Callithrix jacchus: one gene and its partner. The protein of the gene in region 1 purifies or fractionates together with the protein of each later gene. This does not show direct contact. Links are inferred from orthologs where the notes say so. Each region holds a gene or a part of one and is shown on either strand. Other genes may lie near its edges.

Region 1 (9,324 bases):
TCCACATTGTGAAACCCCATCTCTACCAAAAATGCAAAAATCAGATGTGCACCAGTAGTCCCAGCTACTTGGAGGGTGAGGCACAAGAATCACTTGAACCCAAGAGACAGAGGTTGTAGTGAGCGGAGATCACACCACTGCATTCCAGCCTGGGCTGTAGAGTGAGACTTAAAAAAAAAAGAAAATACAGCCAGGAGCTAAAGGAGGAATTTTTGTATCATCCCAGTGTGGAAACAGTCTTTTTAACTATGACACAAAACCCAAAGTCATAAAAGTACATTTTTTACTACATTAAAAATCCATATTGTTTCAAAATGATGGACTGAAGAAAATATTTACAATTAACAGCTTAAAGGAGTATTTTTCTCCATACATAGAAAAAAATCCTGGTCTGGGCATGGCAGCTCATGCCTATAATCCTAGCACTTTGGGAGGCCAAGGCAGGTGGATCATGAAGTCAGGAGTTCAAGACCAGCCAGGCCAATATGTTGAAACCCCATCTCTACTAAAAATACAAAAATTACGGCCGGGCGTGGTGGCTCACGCCTATAATCCCAGCACTTTGGGAGGCCGAGGCGGGTGGATCATGAGGTCAAGAGATCGAGACCATCCTGGTCAACAAGGTGAAACACCATCTCTACTAAAAATACAAAAATTAGCTGGGCATGGTGGTGCATGCCTGTAGTCCCAGCTACTCGGGAGGCTGAGGCAGGAGAATTGCTTGAACCCAGGAGGCAGAGGTTGTGGTGAGCCGAGATCGCACCATTGCACTACAGCCTGGGTAACAAGAGCAAAACTCCGTCTCAAAAAAAAAAATTAAAAATAAAAATACAAAAATTAGCTGGGCATGGTGGTGCACGCCTGTAGTCCCAGCTACTCAGGAGTCTGAGGCAGGAGAATTGCTTGAACCCAGGAGGCAGAGGTTGCAGTGAGTCGAGATCGTGCCATTGCACTCCAGTCTGGGTAACAACAGAGAAACTCTGTCTCAAAAATAAAAAAAATAAAAATACAAAGATTAGCCGGGCACGGTGGCAGGCGCCTATAATCCCAGCTACTCAGGAGGCAGAGGCAAGAGAATCACTTGAACCTAGAGGGTGGAGGTTGCAGTGAGCTGAGATCATGCCACTGCACTCCAGCCTGGGTGACAAAGTGAGACTCCATCTCAAAACAACAACAACAACAACAACAACACTGCTGTAGCAAGAAATGCATGAATACAAAAAACCTCTTCACCAGCCTGACCAAAACAGTGAAATCCTGTTCTCTACTAAAACGACAAAAAATAGTCGGGCGTGGCAGCACGCACTTGTAGTCCCAGCTACTCAGGAGGCTGAGGCAGGAGAATTGCTGGAACCCAGGAGGTGGAGGTTGCAGTGAGCTAAGATTGCACCACTGCATTCCAGCATGGGCAACAGAGTGAAACTCCGTATCAAAACAAAACAAAACAAAAATTAGCCAAGCATGGTGGCAGGTGCCTGTAATCCCAGCTACTTGGGAGGCTGAGGCAGGACAATCGCATGAACCCTGAAGGTGGAGGACACAGTAAGCCATGATCATGCCACTGCGCTCCAGCCTGGGCAACAAAGCAAGACTCTGTCTCAAAAAAAAGGGGAAAAAAATGGCTGGGTGTGGTGGCTCACACCTGTAATCCGAGCACTTTGGGAGGCTGAGGCAGGCAGATCACCTGAGGTCAGGAGTTTGAGACCAGCCTGGCCAATATGGCAAAACCCTGTCTCTACTAAAAAGACAAAAATGAGCTGGGCATGGTGCTGCAAGCCTGTAATCCAAGCTCCTCGGGAGGCTGAGGCTGGAGAATTGCTTGAGCCGGGGAGGTGGAAGTTGCAGTGAGCTAAGATTTCGCCATTGCATTCCATCCTGGGTGATAGAGCAAGACTCCATCTCAAAAAAAAAAAAAAAAGAGAATCTTCTTCAAAATACATTCATAAGTGCACCACAAGATGCAAGGAGTTCTGGTATTTAATAAAAACTGGGTGGGAAATATATACATATCTGGTATGGTGTCTTTTTCTCACAAAATACATTTTCCACACCAATTTTCCAATACCAATGGGGTGTTGAACAATTCAGTTCCATCGTGACACTAACTCCTGGCATTAGCACAGACCCCAGAGGTTAAGGCTTCAGTACCCCAAGGCTAACCCCACTTCAAATACCAGCCAAAAATGGGGTGCCCAGGCAACTGACACTTCTCTGGCAAACTACAAATTAAGGTTCCCCCAACTCCTCCTCAGGTTTGATAATGCAGTAGATGACTACAGAACTTTGAACAGCACCTCACTTCCTAGGGTACTACCTGTTTAATACGAAGGAAACAATTCCGAAACAGCCAGCTGGAAGAGTTGCACAGGGCAAGGCACTGCGGGTGTGGTGCACAGAGCTTCTGTGCCCTCCCCACCCTCCCGGCACATCCACCTGTTTCTTTAACCCAATCTCTAGTCTCCCAGGCTGCATCATCTCACCTCGTTAGCATAAACTCAGGTGTGGTCTTGTTAGGATTAATGGAAATGTGGGGGTTGCTGTCAAGAAAAGACAATTCTATCACTTAGAAAATTACAAGGGTTTCAGGAGCTCTGTCAGGAACCAAATACATGTATGTGTGTCTTGAGACAGGCTCTCACTCTGTCGCCCATGCTGGAGTACACAGGTGTAATCATAGCTCACTGTAGCCTCCAACTCCTGGACTCAAGTGATCCTCCCACCCCAGCCTCCCAAGTAGCTGGGACTACAGGCATGCGCCAACACACTCAGCTAATTTTTAAATTCTTTTTTGTTGAGATGAGGTCTCATTATGTTGGCTGAGGCGGGCAGATCCCGAGGTCAAAAGATCGAGACCATCCTGGCCAACATGGTGAAACCCCGTCTCTACTACAAATACAAAAAAATTAGCTGGGCATGGTGGCACGTGCCTGTAGTCCCAGCTACTCGGGAGGCTGAGGCAGGAGAATTGCTTGAACCGGGGAGGCGGAGGTTGCAGTGAGCCGGGATTGTGCCACTGCACTCCAGTCTGGCGCCTAGCAACAGAGTAAAACTGTATCCAAAAAAAAAAAGAAATTAATCCTTTTGAGTTCCCATGTCTCTTGGGAGGAGGGGGTTGTATTATAATTACAATATTATATTTGATTGCAGCTCAGGGAAGGGATCAAGTCTGATGCCTACGTAAACCTGGTCCTAAAGGCATTTCTAGACTGAATAAAGAGCTGTTTTCCATTCAACTTTTGTTTCCCAATACGTTCGTGGCCCTCTCTTATTTTCTTTGAGAGAGTCTCACCCTGTCATCCAGGCTGGAGGGCAGTGGCACAGTCTCGACTCATTGCAACCTCTGCCTCCCTGGTTCAAGCCATTCTCCCACCTCGGCCTCCAAGTAGCTGGGATCACAGGTGTGTGCCACCATGCCTGGTTAATTTTGGTATCTTTAGTAGAGACAGGGTTTTGCCACGTTGGCCAGGCTAGTTTTGACCTCAAATGATCCACCTGCCTCAGCCTCCCAAAGTGCTAGGATTACAGGCATGAGCCACCACACCCAGCTCCCTGGTCCTCTTCTAAGGCCTGAGGATACCTCATATCATTTAATCCCATCAACGCTGCGTAGATCTCATTATCCATAGGCATGGATATTACAGAGAGGAAAACTGAGGCTCAGGATAACTGAAGGGGCCAAGCTGTCACTACACACTTCTGAAAAAAGAAAAAAGGAAGGGGCAAGCTGTGACACAGCCTGTGCTCATATGTTAAAACCCTGGTAGACTCCCCCTCCCCACCCCGACCAGAGGTCAAGGATCCAGGCCAGGACCTAAGCACAGCTGGTGTCTTGTGGACATGAATTTATTAGAGGGGACCAGGACCAGCATGGGTAAAGCTGCAGGCTGGGAGGAAGGGGCAGGGGTGGGAGCACGGCTGATGGCGTGTGGGTCAGTGGGCCAGCAGGCGTGACATTCTTCACCCTACAGAGCTTCAGTGCCCAGGGCGTGGCAGAAGCTTTGGGAAAACTGGGGAGAGGAGAGAGTGAGACTCAGAGGGGAAACCCGCCAAGCTCACACAGGAGGGGCAGCAGCACTTCGATCCCAGGCCCATGGCCCTCCCTCTCATCCTGTTGGTTCTCCCTCCTGCCTCCCAAGCTCCCACCCCAGATCGAAGCTCCTGTCCTGCCCTATCCTGTACTCACTTCGGAGGCAGTAGGTGTCAGGTTCCAGTTGAATCTGGGGAGGTAAGATGAGGAGAAAGTCCCCACCCCAGGTGTTTTTGAACGCTGAGAGTGAATTTTGGGAGGGAAGGCGATGACACTCCGAGGTCAGAGAAGAGCACTTGAGTGACACAGGCTTAAGTGGGTGGCAGCCGGGGTGCTGGGGCAAGCCACAGGGGGAACAGTGGGGTGGTGAGAGGCCAGGGCCCCGGGGAAGGCGGAAAGGGACCTGTGGACAGACCCTCTGAACCCCGCCATGGTGGGGGCGCCGGTCCCGAGTCCAAGCCCAGTGAAATGGCTCCTTTGCCATGACCTGGGAGGAGCATAGTGGACAGTAAGTGGGGTGGGAACCACCAGCCTTTCCCACACCCCAGGCTGCCCCCCCAGCCTCACCTCCTCACAGCACTGGCGGCTCACGACAGCCCGGAAACCCATCCGTGCCCAGAGCTTATCCCTCTGCTGTAGGAACTTCCCCACTCGTAAACACCAATCTCTTCCCAGGGCCCATGGAAAAATCTGACATTTGGGCCCCTCCAGGTCCTCCTCCATGTCATTTGCAAGGTACCTAGCCACAGAAGCACGGGGTCAAGGAGCAGAGGCCACAGCATCACCCCGCCCCATCAGACACCTCCAGCAAACGCCTCCACTCCCTGTCCCCACCACTCACAGGGCCAAGAACAGGCTGCTGTGGGTGTACTCGCTGAGCTTCAGGCGGGCGCGCTGGAAGTAGACCAGCACCATGGCCAGGAGATACTGCAGAGACAGATGGGGAGGCGGGGGATTAGTTATCCTCTGAGGAGAAGGGGCTTGCATCCAGGTTCATTTGTAACCAAGGAGGTTTTGCTGCAGGGAAAGAAAGTCGGGAAAGCAGTGGGGAGGGGTGTGTGAAGATGAGGGGCAAGGGTGAAACGTGAGCAGCTCTCCCTACCTGACCAGGGCACTCAATAAAGTAGCCACATTCAATTCCCACCAACTCAACCTGACCCTCGGGCGACCCCCAGCCTCCAGCCCCACTGTGCTCCCTCACCTTATCTGAAATCCGGAAGCAGGGGTCTTTGGAGAGGAATTCCTGGACAAAACTGTCCTCTGAAGGTAGAGAAGACGGGACGCAGGTTACCACAGCCTCCGTGGAGAAGAGTGGCATCGGAAGCTGCAAAGCTCAAGCCACCACTCAGCCCTTTTTTTTGGAGACGGAGTTTTGCTCTTGTCCAGGCTGGAGTGCAATAGCACAATCTTGGCTCATTGCAACTTCCACCTCCCTGGTTCAAGCAATTCTCCTGCCTTAGCCTCCCAAGTAGCTGGGATGACAGGCATGTGCCACCATGTCTGGCTAATTTTATAGTTTTAGTAGAGACAGGGTCTCTCCATGTTGGTCAGGCTGGTCTTGAACTTCCAACCTCAGGTGATCCACTCACCTCAGCCTTCCAGAGTGTTGGGATTACAGGTGTGAGCCACTGTGCCTGCCTTCTTTTTTTCTCCCTCTTTTTCTGTTTCCCCCCCCCCCCCCCGTCTCTCTCTCTTTCTTTCTCTGTCTCTTTCTTTCTTAATATAAATAGAGATGGGGTCTCACTATGTTGATCAGGCTGGTCTTCATCTCCTGGCCTCAACTGATCCTCCCATCTCAGCCTCTCAAAGTGTTGGGATTACAGATGTGAGTCATGGCACCTGGCGCTGAACCCAGTTTCTGAGAGGACCCCCTACCCCCGACCTACCTAAGCTGGGTCACCTCAGAGGGAGAGGGCAGAGGCCTCAGATGGCTGTACAGGCAGATGAGACCCCATACTTCACATCTGCCTTCACACTTGGTCTCACAACCCTCCCATGCTAGCCCCACAAACTCACCCAGAAGGTTGAGGAAGGCCTGGAGCTCTTCGTGCTGGCGAAAACTGAGGAACCCATTGCCCCCACCTTGCTGGCTGCAGCCCTCCAGCTCTACCTGGGTCATAACTACAGCGGAAGTGGTGGGGTCTTGGGAGTCATCCATCTCATAGGAGATGGAGATGGAGCAGGGTGACCTGTAGAGAAAGGAGGCTCAGGGTTTACCATGTATCCCCGTGACTCCCACGAATCAAAAGGGTGGTGACAAGGGCCAGGACGGTGGAGGGGTGGGTGTGGAGACTTGGGGGCTCAGAATATAAGGCAGCCAGGTTGCAACAGGAGTGTGGAGGCCAGAAAAGCAGCAAAGAGTTGTTGTAGGCTGCAGCACTCCTGCCCTCCTCCTGGCACCCCAGGACAGGCAGAGTAGCAGCAGCAACAAGCACTGCTGAGGGCTTCCTAAGTGTCTGGAGCTGTGCTTAAGGGCTTTATCTTATTTCATCCTGGTGAGGAGGTATGTTCAACACAGACCCATTTTCAAACAAGGAAACTGAAGGCTGAGGCCTCACAGCCAGTTAAAAGTGAAGCCCTTGGCCTCCAAAACCCAAAGAGGTTTTGTTTGTTTGTTTGTTGAGACAGTCTCTCTCTGTAGCCCAGGCTGAAGTGCAGAGGCACAATCTTGGCTCACTGCAACCTCCTCCTCCCCAGTTCAAGCCATTCTCCACCCTCAGCCTCCAGAGTAGCTGGGATTACAGCCTTGCCACCATGCCCGGCTAATTTTTTTAATTTTTGGTAGAGACAGGGTTTCACTGTGTTGGCCAGGCTGGGCTCGCACTCCTCACCTCAGGTGATCCGCGCGCCTCGACCTCCCAAAGTGCTGGGATTACAGGCATGAGCCACTGTGTTAACTGCTTCTTTTTCAGGCCCCAACTCACAACCACCCCGACCCCTCACCAAAGCAGAATTGAAAGGGCCACTGATCCCTTACACCGAGGGGAAACTGAGGTCCACAGGGAGGAACGAAATTAGAGAAATACCTGGATTTAGAGCAAGTTGAGATGGGGCCACTTCAAACATTTCATGCTCCTGTCCTAAACCCACCCTCAGCCCCGAGAAAAGAGATGCCAACCACCGGGCTGAGAAGAAAGTGCGGTCGACCACCCCAGGGCCAATTTGGGCCTCTTCATGTAGATGCCCATAAGCAGAAGCAGCCCAGCCTCCTCCTGCAGAGAGCCTTACCCGGCCTCAGGAATTGCCCACAGCATAAAACCCAGGCCACCCAACCAGTGCACTTATATACCCTGAGGGCTGCCCGCCCAACGCAGCCCGTCCACCAATCAGGGCCTCCCTGGGGGCGTGGTTTGGCCTACACCGCCCGCCTCTCTGCCTGTGAACCCAGTCAGCACCCAGCTGCGGCTCCCCAGGGTGAAAGCCTCTCCGAAGTTTCATCAGCTACAAGAGGGGTGAAGGCAGGCCAGCTGGACCCCAGGGCCTGAGATACCATAGGAAGGGCAGGGAGCTAGGATCCGCGTTACCCTCTTGACAAATGCAGCGCCAAGGGGCTGAGCCGAGAAATGAGGCCTGGGCTACCAGGGCCAGGTGGGTGAGTTTTGATTCACTGACTGTGCCTTGCTGGGGCAGGGTCTCTGGCTCTCTGTGGGTGTCTCTGAATTTCACTGAGGCTCCCTGGGTCTCTCTTTTCTTTCTTTTGTCTTTTATTTTATTTTTCCCCTGGTAACACAGAACAAGCTGCCTGGGTCTCACACTTGATCTCAGCCGAAAGGCCGGGAAGCAATAGGCTGCCCGGGTCTCCATGGGCCTCTGAGTCTTTCCGTTTCTTGTTGCCTCTGGTGTCTGGATGTCTCTGGATCCTTTGATCTCTCTGATCTCTGGGTCTCTGGTCTGTCTGTGTTTCATGGTCTCCCCCGGCCACCTCCCAGGCTCCCTGAGGCCAGCAAGGCCTTTCTAGACCAGCTGGTCTGCATCAGGCCATCCTGTTTGTGTGTGTGCATGCATGTGAAGATGGCCTCCCTTAGAAAGGAAGCAGTGAGCGGGGCAGCCTCCATAGCCAGCTCCCGAAACACCTACTGAGGAGGCTGTGTTGGAGTCAGCTCGCGTGTTCCGCACAGTGAGCCCATGAAATTGATGAGAATGATAAGATGCCTCATTTTATCAACGAACAAACAAATAACAGCAGAGTCTGGGTTGCTCACTGAGAGGCTGAGTAACTTCCTGCCAGCCTGGCCGCTGAGCACACGTGCCAGGTGGCCTGGCTTTGTGGTCCATGGCTGTTCCTGAACACAGCCTGCACAGAGAAGGTGTCCCATGAAACTGAATGAATCCCCTCGACCAGCTGTGGTTTCAACCTTTCTCCTCTCCCTGCAATAACTAAGGTTCGAGATCAGGAAGGGGTAGCAAAAGGACGTCTGGGAGTGGGCTAGTCACTCTAGCCTTGGGAGGGTGTCCAGGCTCATTTCCCTAAGTGCCAGCCTTGGAGATGTGACACTGATATCCCACACTGGGAACAATACTTTTTTTAAATTTTGTTTTTTTGAGACAGAATCTTACTTTGTTGCCCAGGCTGGAATGCAGTGGCACAATCTCAGGTCACTGCAACCTCCGCCTCCCAGGTTCAAGCAAGTCTCCTGCCTCAGCCTCCCAGCTGGGACTACAGGTGTGTGCCACCATGCCTGGCTAATTTTTTTTTTGAGATGGAGTCGCTGAGCTTGAGTGCAGTGGTGCGATCTCAGCTGACTGCAATCTCTGCCTCCCAGGTTCCAGCAATTCTGTCTTAGCCTCCCGAGTAGCTGAGCTTACAAGCACCCACCATCATGCCCGGGTAATTTTCCTATTTTTAGTAGAGATGGGTTTTCACCATGTTGGCCAGGCTAGTCTCAAAGTCCTCACCTCAGGTAATCCACCTGCCTGGGCCTCCCAAAGTGCTGGGATTACAGGCGTGTACCACCACGCCTTGCTAATCTTTGTTTTGTTTTTGAGACAGAGTCTTGCTCTGTCACCCAGGCTGGAGTGATCTCAGCTCATTGCAACCTCTACCTCCCGGGTTCAAGCAATCTTCCCACCTCAGCCTCCCTAGTAGCTGGAATTATAGGCAAGCGCCACCATACCTGGCTAATTTTTATATTTTTAGTAGAGACAGGGTATCACCATATTGGCCAGGCTGATCTTGAACTCCTGACCTCAAGTGATCTGTCCACCTCAGCCTCCCAAAGTGCTGGGGTCACAGGCATAAGCCACAGCGCCTGGCCCACAGTTTGGCTTTGACTCTGCTCTACGTCTTCTGCATCCCA
Region 2 (9,324 bases), on another chromosome or scaffold:
AAAGTGATGCTCCATGCCCCATAGCTGCCCCTTAGCCTCTCTCTGGAACAGCAGGACCCTCAGCCTGTTACAAAGACACACACCCGAGTCATCCCTGATGGCTCCTTCCCCCTTATTTAATCCAGTCCCAGCTCCTAAAAATATCTCATCATCATTTCCTCCTCTTGAAACTGATTGCTATCTCCCCAAGTTCAGCACCTGCTGGGGCTGTTGCAGAGCCTTCCAATGTCTGCCGGCTCTGATGCTGCCTCATCAGCCCTTCTCGTGACTTTTCCTTCCTAACTCCCACTTATGACTATGTCACTTCCTTATTCACATATTTTTTTTGAGTCCAACCTTTAATCCAAATATTTTAGCATGACTTTGAACATTATCTTCAAGGTGTGGATATTATTTAACTCCCTAGCCTAATGTTTATGACCCTTGTTCAGCCCCTAGACTCTATTTATGTTCCAGCATACTGAATTAATTTCAGTCAGCAAACTCACATTGTTCTTTTTTGTCAATGGATCAAGAAGCTATCCACATTCATTTAACTGCTTGTCAAACTCTTTTCAATCCTTAAGACTTGGTTCAGTCACCTTTGCTATGAAGCCTTGCTTAATGACCTCTCCACTAGGTTCTGCACAGAGCAGTCTTCACCGTATTGCATTGTAAACATTTGTACCCCACCTAAGTGGAGATCCACATCTACTCACCTGGTATCCTTGATCCTCTTTAGTCCCAAGGTTGATGTATGAATCTCTTCTCCCTACATCATGCCCAGTTTCTAAAATTCCAGAGAGATTAAGGTAAATTGACATGTATGCATTTAAAGTACAATTACCAAGAGGTTTAGAGTGATCTCTTTCTCTTTTGGGGGAGGGAATGAAAATGGGGAAGATGGAAGTTGTGTATGACAAACTTTTATTATCTGTATTTTACATTTTGAATTAATTTTTTAAAATTTACAGAAAAATTACATTACTTTTATAATCAGAAAAATGTCCAACTGTGTCATAGCAACAATAGTTCAGTATTTTCACTTGTGATGAAAAGACTTGAATCTATATATCTTGCATAATCTATCACTTTTCTTTCTGAATTAACATGAAGAAAGATCAATCTTCTTCTTTTGGATATATTTTGCAGAAACTTTTACATTTTTCTTTCTTTTAATATATTTGTCTGTATAGAGACAGGGTCTTACTATGTTGCCCTGGCTGGTCTCAAACTCTTAGTCTCAAGGGATCCTCCATCTTGGCCTCCCAAATTGCTGGGATTACAGGTGTGAACCACTGTGCTGGGCCAATTTTTACAATTTTTATTCAGTAGCAGTGGAGGCCTTGGCAAGACTGATTCATTCATTCATTCATTCATTCATTTATTTTGGGGCTGGGGTAGTACATTCACATGGCTCAACATTTGAAAGATACAAAACTCTCCTTTCTCACCTCTGCCAGGTCACTCTTGTGTTCCACAGAGGCATATTTTTATTAGTTTCTTCCACCTCCTTTCCAAGGTGTATTTTCTTTTTCCTTTTCTTTATTTTTGAGTTGGAGTCTTGCTGTGTCACCCAGGCAATGGTGCAGCCTTGGCTCACTACAATCTCCACCTCCCAGGTTCAAGCAATTCGCCTGCCTCAGTCTTTGGAGTAGGTGGGGTTACAGGTGCCTGCCACCACACCTGGCTAATTTTTGTATTTTTAGTAGAGATGGGGTTTCACCCTATTGGCCAGGCTGGTCTCTTGGCCAGGCTGGTCTTGAACTCCTGACATTGTGATCCACCCGCCTAGGCCTCCCAAAGTGATGGGATTACACGCATGAGCCACTGTGCCCTCCTAAGGTGTATTTTTAAGCAAATGTTCGCAAATATTTCTTATCTAAAAAAACCACTTGTCTTGACCTGGGCTGCCACAACAAAATGCCATAGACTAGGTGGCTTAAACAACAAAATTTTATTTTCCCTGAGTTCTGGAGGCTCAGTGTGCAAGTTCAGAGGGCGGGCAACATCAGATTCTGATGCAGGCTCTCTTCCTCACAGATGGAATTCTAATGTCACATGGCAGAGAGTGAGAGTTACCAAGCTGTTGGGCTTTTCTTCTTAATGAGAGCCCTAAACCCATCATGAGAGCTTCACCTTCATGACCTCATCTAAACCTAATTACCTCCCAAAGCCCCGTCTCCAAACATCACCCCAGCTGGGTGAGAACCTCAATATATGAACTTGGGGAGTCGGGGGAGAACAAACATTCAACATAGCAATACTTAAATATAAAAATAAATAAATAAGACTTACATGCAATACCATTCTTTTCCTTCCAAAATGCATTTACCAAAATATAAATATGACAATTTTCAGAGCACATGCCTGCCCTTGCTCTCCTCTTCAGATTTTTTTTTTTCATACCACCTCTAGGGTAGTTTTACTAAGATATGGTTCTAAGGCTGCGTGTCCCTTTCCTGCTCAGATCCTTTGGAACAGTGTTCAGGGCTCCTCAGGATTCTGACTCCAAACTCCCTTTTCTGACTTTAACGTCACAGGATGCAGCACTCCCTGCATTTTACCACAGAGGGCACCCTAAATTACTTGGGTTGACTTTCTGGCCTCTGTGCTTTACTCATACAATTTCCTCTGTTTCCCCAGCATTTGCTCAAATGTCCCTTCCGTTTGCATTAGCAATTTCCTCCTCTGTGTTCTCACATCGCCCTATAACGTAAGTTCCAAGGTGAATACCAGAAGAGAATCCCTCAGTAATCATCCTGTTCCCCTACTCTCAACACCTCCAGCAGTAATTGGATCTTATTCATTTTTGTGTCTATGAAGCACAGTGTTGCACTTTAGAGACACTATATAGAAGTTGGTCCAAAGGGTAATAAACTGTATTTGCCAAGATGATAACATGGATTTACAAGAACCTCTGAAACTTTATATAGAAAGATGATTGAGTTAATTGGTACACCTAGCATCACAGTTGTGGAAGCTTGTGGTCTTCTTTATGTTGAAGGTAAAATGGATATAATAAATTAGTTGCCATTTTTAGATGATACAGAAATTGAATTCCTTAAGCCTCTCAAAGAGAAAGACATATTAAAATTCATAAAACCAGTACCATAAACTGCACGGAACAGCCTGGATCCTGAAAGCACTTCTCTGGGGCAGTCAGTTTTCATTTAAACAATGAACTTTTTATTTTAAAAGTTTTAAAAGTTATTAGGCTCCAGCAGGAGTTCTTAAATTCCTACCTCCACCATGAATCCCAAATGCTCTGCCTCTGTCACCTAGGAGCAAAAATTTTCAAGATTGAGCCAGATGCAAAGTATAGCACCAGACGATAGATGCAGCTCATTGTGTAAAAAGGTATTAAACACTTAAATGCATGTGATATAGTCTATATCACAAGGATAAGGAAGTTCCATTCCATATCCTAATTTGGGTCTTCTAATACATATTTGTAGTGGGTGTGGCAATCAGTCTTTGTTCTATGTCCTATTAGGGTCAATGCAACTAAAAATCCTTAAAATGGAGACTTTCATTACGTCTAGCTCTGTTTTATTTACTTATTTTAAAAAGACGTCAGAATGGTGTTTAGGTTGAGCTGGTGATTACACTTGTAATCCCAGCACATTCAGAGGCCAAGGCAGGAGGATCCATGGAGCCTAGGATTGGAGGCCAGCTAGGGTAACATGAGGAGACTCTGTCTCTGCAAACAAGCAGAAGAAAGAAAGGGAGAAACAGAGAGAAAGAGAGAGAGAAAGAAAGAAAAGAAAAAAGAGAGAGGGAGGGAGGGAGAAAGGAAGGGAAGGAAGGAAGGAAGGAAAAGAGGGAGGGAAAAAGATATTGAAGTGCAGTAAGTGCAGAAATCGCTCTTAAGGATATTGTGGAGGGCATTGAAGACAGCGTTTTTGACACTGTATTATTTAAAGCATAATTTAAGTCTGTTTTTCTTCCCTCATACAATTGTGAATTTTTGTGTTTTCATAATATTTAAGCCGGGCGTGAAACCGGACGTTGTGCCGAGTGCCTGTACTCGCAGCTACTCCGGAGGCTGAGGCCAATTGCTTGAGTCCAGGAGTTGGGGGCCAGAATAAGCAACGTGATGAGACCCAGTCTCTAAATATATGTCTCTCTATATATTTAAAATTCTGATGTGAAAATATTTTAAAATTTAAAACATTTCAAATGTTTTAAACAAAAATGTAAATAATAAATTAAAATTCAAACGAAGTAGAAACAAAGCACAACGATATAAATAATAAATATTCTTTTACATTTTTGAGGCGGTCTGTTGAGTTTTCCATTTTCTTCTTAAGGTGGCTGAAATGTGCTCTTTGGAGCCAGCCCGCAAATCACGCATTTAGAAAAACGTAACTATACACTGCTTACCCTAAGTATTAGATGTTAAAGTAATGGAATCTGGATGTAAACACAATATCCCTTTTTTGCTTTGAGTGATGAGCTATTTTGAGTGTAATAAATTTGAACTGTGGCAATGCTGGGAGAAAAAAACTAAAAAAAAGAACGGAGCAAGTAGTAGCTTCCCGCTCCGCTGACTAGAAACAGTAGGACGACACTCTCAGGGCTGGAGAGCGCCCGCCCTCCTGCTTTTTCTCCAGCCGCCCTTTCCTCTCTCTTTCGCGCTCTACCCACCCACGAGGCCTGCCCAAGCGTAGCTGGGCTCTGATTGGCTGCTTTGAAAGTCTACGGGCTACCTGATTGGTGGATCTGGGACCCTTTAGCGCGGCGAGTTTGAAACTGCTCGCACTTCGCTTCAAAGCTGGCTCTTGGAAGTTGAGCGGAAAGCGACGTGGCTGTGGTAGTTGCCTCTGCTGCCGCCGTGGGATAATAAGCCGGGTAGAGTGGCTGGTGTCGGGGTCGCTCCTAGAGGCTGAGCCCAGGGGCCTCAGAGGCTGGGTATTGAGGAACGGAGTCCTCATAGGAGGCCGGGCTTGGGGAGCAGGGATCTGCGCAGAGCCAGGCTGGGTCTCTGGAGGGCAGGCAGGGCCTTCTCCTGGGCCGGGGCCTGGGCATGTGAGCCACACCGGGCCGGCTTTAGAGTGAGGCTGACGGAGCCCAGCCGGGGTTGTGGGGGTGGCGGTTGGGGCTGCCTGCAGTCAGGGCTCGAGGTCGGCTTCTCTCAGAAACTTACTGGGGAGGCTTTCGGGTCAAGGTTGAAGCACAATCCGCTCCCCTATGGTGAGCGCCTGCGAAGTGGCCGGCTCCTTCCTGCACCCGCCCCCTGCGCGCCCTCCCATCCTGCCTCGGGGGTGAGCAAGCGGCACCGCACCTGGGCCAGGTACGGGCGCAGGTTCCTAAAGCCAGGCCGCCCTGAGAAACAGCTCCCGGGACTCGTGGGCCTTCTCGAGCTGGCTCTGCCCACGGCCCCGGCCCACCTGGAGTTTTTAAGAACACTCAGCCCAGGCACTCAACACTCAAGAGCAGTGTAGTGCAGTTTTTGTTGTTGTTGTTGTTTTCATTTAGAAATATACCTCGGCTTCCTTCTGGATTGATTTTTCTTTGAAGATGAATGAGAAATAGAACTTAAAAATCTATTCAGAGTGGTATTTATAAATGATTTTATCGTCAGGGATGCGTGTTAGAAAAATCGAAGTAATTATGCCTGGACTTCTGACGTTTCATTGGCAAACTTAAGAGGAAGTCTTGAACTTCTGATTGTCAGCTCTTTTTTTTTTAACCATTCATTGTGATTCAAGTATACAGCGTTTCTGCTTGGTCCTTGAAATTGCGTAGGCTATAATTATAATTTATCTGTAGAATTGCACTTTTCATTCTTTTGTTTTAGCGTGCTTAAGTGGTATTTCCTACTCGTGCAAAAAGTATCTTGAAAGCCTTGAGCATGTTTTTCTGTGACCTCTACAAGCAAAGGAAAAAGATTAAAATTGTCACGTGGGCAACTGTAAACACTTACACGTTTTTGCCGCTTTAAACACAATCTTCCTAATGAACAGTCTGAACACATTTTAGTTCTATATCTTTAAAAAACCGTGTTTTGCATAATGTTAGGAATATCATAAAGCGGTATAAATTTGTTGAAATATTTCGGTATAAACAAAAAAAATTTCGGTATAACTTTGGTACATGCTGGTACTACTTTAAATTGTCAAATAAAGGGAACATTCTGGTTTTTGTTTGGAAAGAACAGACAAATTGATTTCTGAATTTGAGGGTTATTTTGATTGGAAGACGCTAAATACTATACTAGGATGGAATATACAAATGTTTCCAATGTCTCAGGAGTCAAGAAGGATGGAAAGTTATTGTAGGAGTTCTTACCCTTGTAAATATTTGAATGTAATTAATATTTATGGAATATTTACTATACTGCAGTATGCATTGTGGAAAATGCTTTATATATAGTATCTCAATACTTAAAACTACTCGAGTTAGTGGCATGTAATTAAGTCAGTTTTTCCCTTCATTTTAGGATCTACCATACCTATTGACTAACTATGGAAGATTATACTAAAATAGAGAAAATTGGAGAAGGTGAGTGGCTTTAGTAATATAACATTTTTTAGAATGATTTAACAATGCTACCACCAACTTCTGTAATATGAACACATGTAAATATTTGTTAAAATTTAACGACTAAGATGTCTTGTAATATCAATGTATATTAATATATGTTGTTTACATAGTAACTTAAACACAAATTTGTTCATATTTCAAGAGAATCAAAATTATTGAGTCCCTAATGATCCTTCCCCTCACCCCCATAGTCTTACATTCTGCTGATACCCAACACTTACAGCATTACTCTTGTTTTGAAGACACTGTTGATAACTTGTACATGTATTTAGGGACAGAGGTTAGGGCAGCAGCATTATGCTAATTTCATAATATATTTTTAGTCTCAGTTATTTTTAAGATGATAAATGTTTTTATTCAGATTTTCTAGACTGGTTACAATAATTGACTTAATCTTCTATTAAGTCAGTCTTGACTTAAGTTAATTTTGATATTTAGTTACCTTAAGTATAAATGACCTGTCATATGTAGGTGTTTAATCTATTCTAAAACTATAACTTATGTATATAATCATTCCCTTTCTGTGATACTTGAAGGAATGTTTAGCTCTATATATGGCACAAATCATATCCCTTAACCTGTCCCCTTGAGTCCCGCAACAGAACATCCCAGTTTCTTTCCAGGAGTTTTGACATTCTCAATTCTCCGGGAACAAAATAATTTGCTAATAGAGTCCAGTTTGTATAGGTTCTGGCTGAAGAAAATTCCCAACTATATTTTTAATGTGATCAAAGACTCCACTTGGGAAGAAATAATAAAAAACAATGGGGCTATACTGGAGGGAATTTAGTGAAATAGGAATGACAAGTTAGTGTAGTGGTAGATTGGATGTGTGTGTGTGTGTATATATTTTTTAATCACTTAAATACCTAATTCATACCCATTCTAAATGAATTTTGCTGCTGAATTACAAATATGTGATAAGTATGTCTAATGCCTTGTAGTATGTTTCTTAAATTTTCAGAGAATTAGTGTTGATTGCAGTTTGGCATAAAAGGAGACCTTTTTTTTTTCCTTCATTTTGTTTTTATTATAGCATGTTTGCTTAATTTACAGCAAGCAGAAAATAAGCTGGGTCTTGTTTTGATCCAAACATTGATGTTTTAAAGGTTGTACACAATATTTCTTAAAAAGAACATATAAAAGTACCTTTTTAGAAGCCTCTATAAGAAAGAAAATACAAAGTTTAACCCCACAACTTTCCTCTTTTCTAGAACTGCAAACTACTGCTACAGTTTTAAATAGACTTTTTGTTGTTTATACATCCAGGAAAATCTAAAAAATTAAAGAAACGTGCATATAAATGATTGCATAGCAGAACATGAACATTAACTGCAAACAGTAAAGAAATGAAGATTAGAAATACTATCAAATATACAAAGGTTCTAAAATAATCAGTCCTTTAAACACATTCCACAAGCAGTATTTAAAATCCATCATTTTATTCTTTACAGGCAAAGCCTAGATTCCAAAAACCAAAATTGAAAAAAGTAATTCTCTAAAAGGAATTGTTTCTCCATAGTTCTTACTTATATCTGTAAGCAAGCAATCTGATTTTTAAAGATGCTAGCTTTTTATTCTGAAATGAAATTGGGCATGTCAAGTCACTTTTGTCCCCCAAACAATCTTTCAGAGAAATACTAGAAATTAGAAATGGGTAAGGATATTACTTCATTTTTTAGTCAGCTACTACACTCATAATCACAAACTCAGATGTGACTCTTGCTCAAAACTAATGCTTTTTCCAAAATTATTTTTAATTTCATGGTACCACAGAATCGCCTAGAATGAGTGTTATCTTTCAACTTGCCTCATATTAAATAAACTAAGGTGTGAAAAGCAGGCCTCGCTCATAAAGAGGCAGGCAAATTTTGATACAAATGCACAGGCCAAGTGCTGTAAGCATCAAAAAATTTTAGTTCTTTTACACTGTGCACACACACACACACAGAAGCTACTTTGAAACAATTTACTCCCTTCTAACAGCAGTAAGAAAACTAAGCAATATTATGGTCAACAATGCTCCTTAAACTTCAGAATAATTACATAAGAATATTCCTTTCTCCTTAAAATTATTTTTGCTGTTGTTGACCTGCTCAAATTTTAGGATAAGTTTTCGTGTTTTCTATGTTCCAAATCTTCACAGGAACCAGAAAAAAAGCAGTGAAGCCTCTGTGTTTCAGTCAAAAACTCAATCTCCCTGAAAATACTACCTAACCCAGCTGGCATCATTCCCCCAAGACAGTGGGGTTAACAAAAGAACTAATCCACACTTCATCATAAGTAATTATCATGGGCCTAGACTTTTTTTTTTTTGAGTTGGAGTCTCACTCCATCACCCAGGCTGGAGTGCAGTGATGCAATCTTGGCTCACTGCAACTGTCACCTCCCAGGTTCCAGCAATTCCCCTGCCTCAGCCTCCCAAGTAGCTGGGATTACAAGCGTGCACCACCACGCCCAGCTAATTCTGTCTTTTTAGCAGAGGGTATTTCATCCTGTTGGTCAGGCTGGTCTCGAATGCCTGACCTCATGACCCACCTACCTCGGCCTCCCAAAGTGCTGGGATTACAGGCATGAGCCACTGCGCCTGGCCGGGCCTAGACATTTTGACAAGACATAAAAGCCCACCCTGAACCTAAATGTGTCTGAGCAGTCAGTGCTGTACTGTGGCTACTACTTCACTTTTGTATCATTTTATCTTATTAGCAAGCTACATTTCTAGGTTAACAGTTCCACCAAATATGAATATGAAAGTTTATTTTTAATGAGACAGTATTGCAAATTATGGTCAACTAA

Evidence for each region.
Region 2: the proteins of SPDYC (region 1) and CDK1 purify together in Homo sapiens (co-immunoprecipitation; 3 studies listed by BioGRID and IntAct, with this or other methods). This does not show direct contact. The link is inferred for Callithrix jacchus from reciprocal best matches to the Homo sapiens genes SPDYC and CDK1.

What each region holds. Positions count from the first base shown.
Region 1 is NC_133511.1:122,244,568-122,253,891, reverse strand, and holds SPDYC (speedy protein C), read right to left. Parts: upstream 6,315-9,324; 5' UTR 6,186-6,314; coding exon 6,044-6,185; intron 5,288-6,043; coding exon 5,229-5,287; intron 4,955-5,228; coding exon 4,869-4,954; intron 4,767-4,868; coding exon 4,595-4,766; intron 4,515-4,594; coding exon 4,104-4,514; 3' UTR 4,008-4,103; downstream 1-4,007. UniProt on the Homo sapiens protein: Promotes progression through the cell cycle via binding and activation of CDK1 and CDK2. Involved in the spindle-assembly checkpoint. Required for recruitment of MAD2L1, BUBR1 and BUB1 to kinetochores.
Region 2 is NC_133513.1:69,674,853-69,684,176, reverse strand, and holds the start of CDK1 (cyclin-dependent kinase 1), read left to right. Parts: upstream 1-4,740; 5' UTR 4,741-4,893; intron 4,894-5,256; exon of another isoform or gene 5,257-5,275; intron 5,276-6,424; 5' UTR 6,425-6,449; coding exon 6,450-6,486; intron 6,487-9,324. UniProt on the Homo sapiens protein: Plays a key role in the control of the eukaryotic cell cycle by modulating the centrosome cycle as well as mitotic onset; promotes G2-M transition via association with multiple interphase cyclins.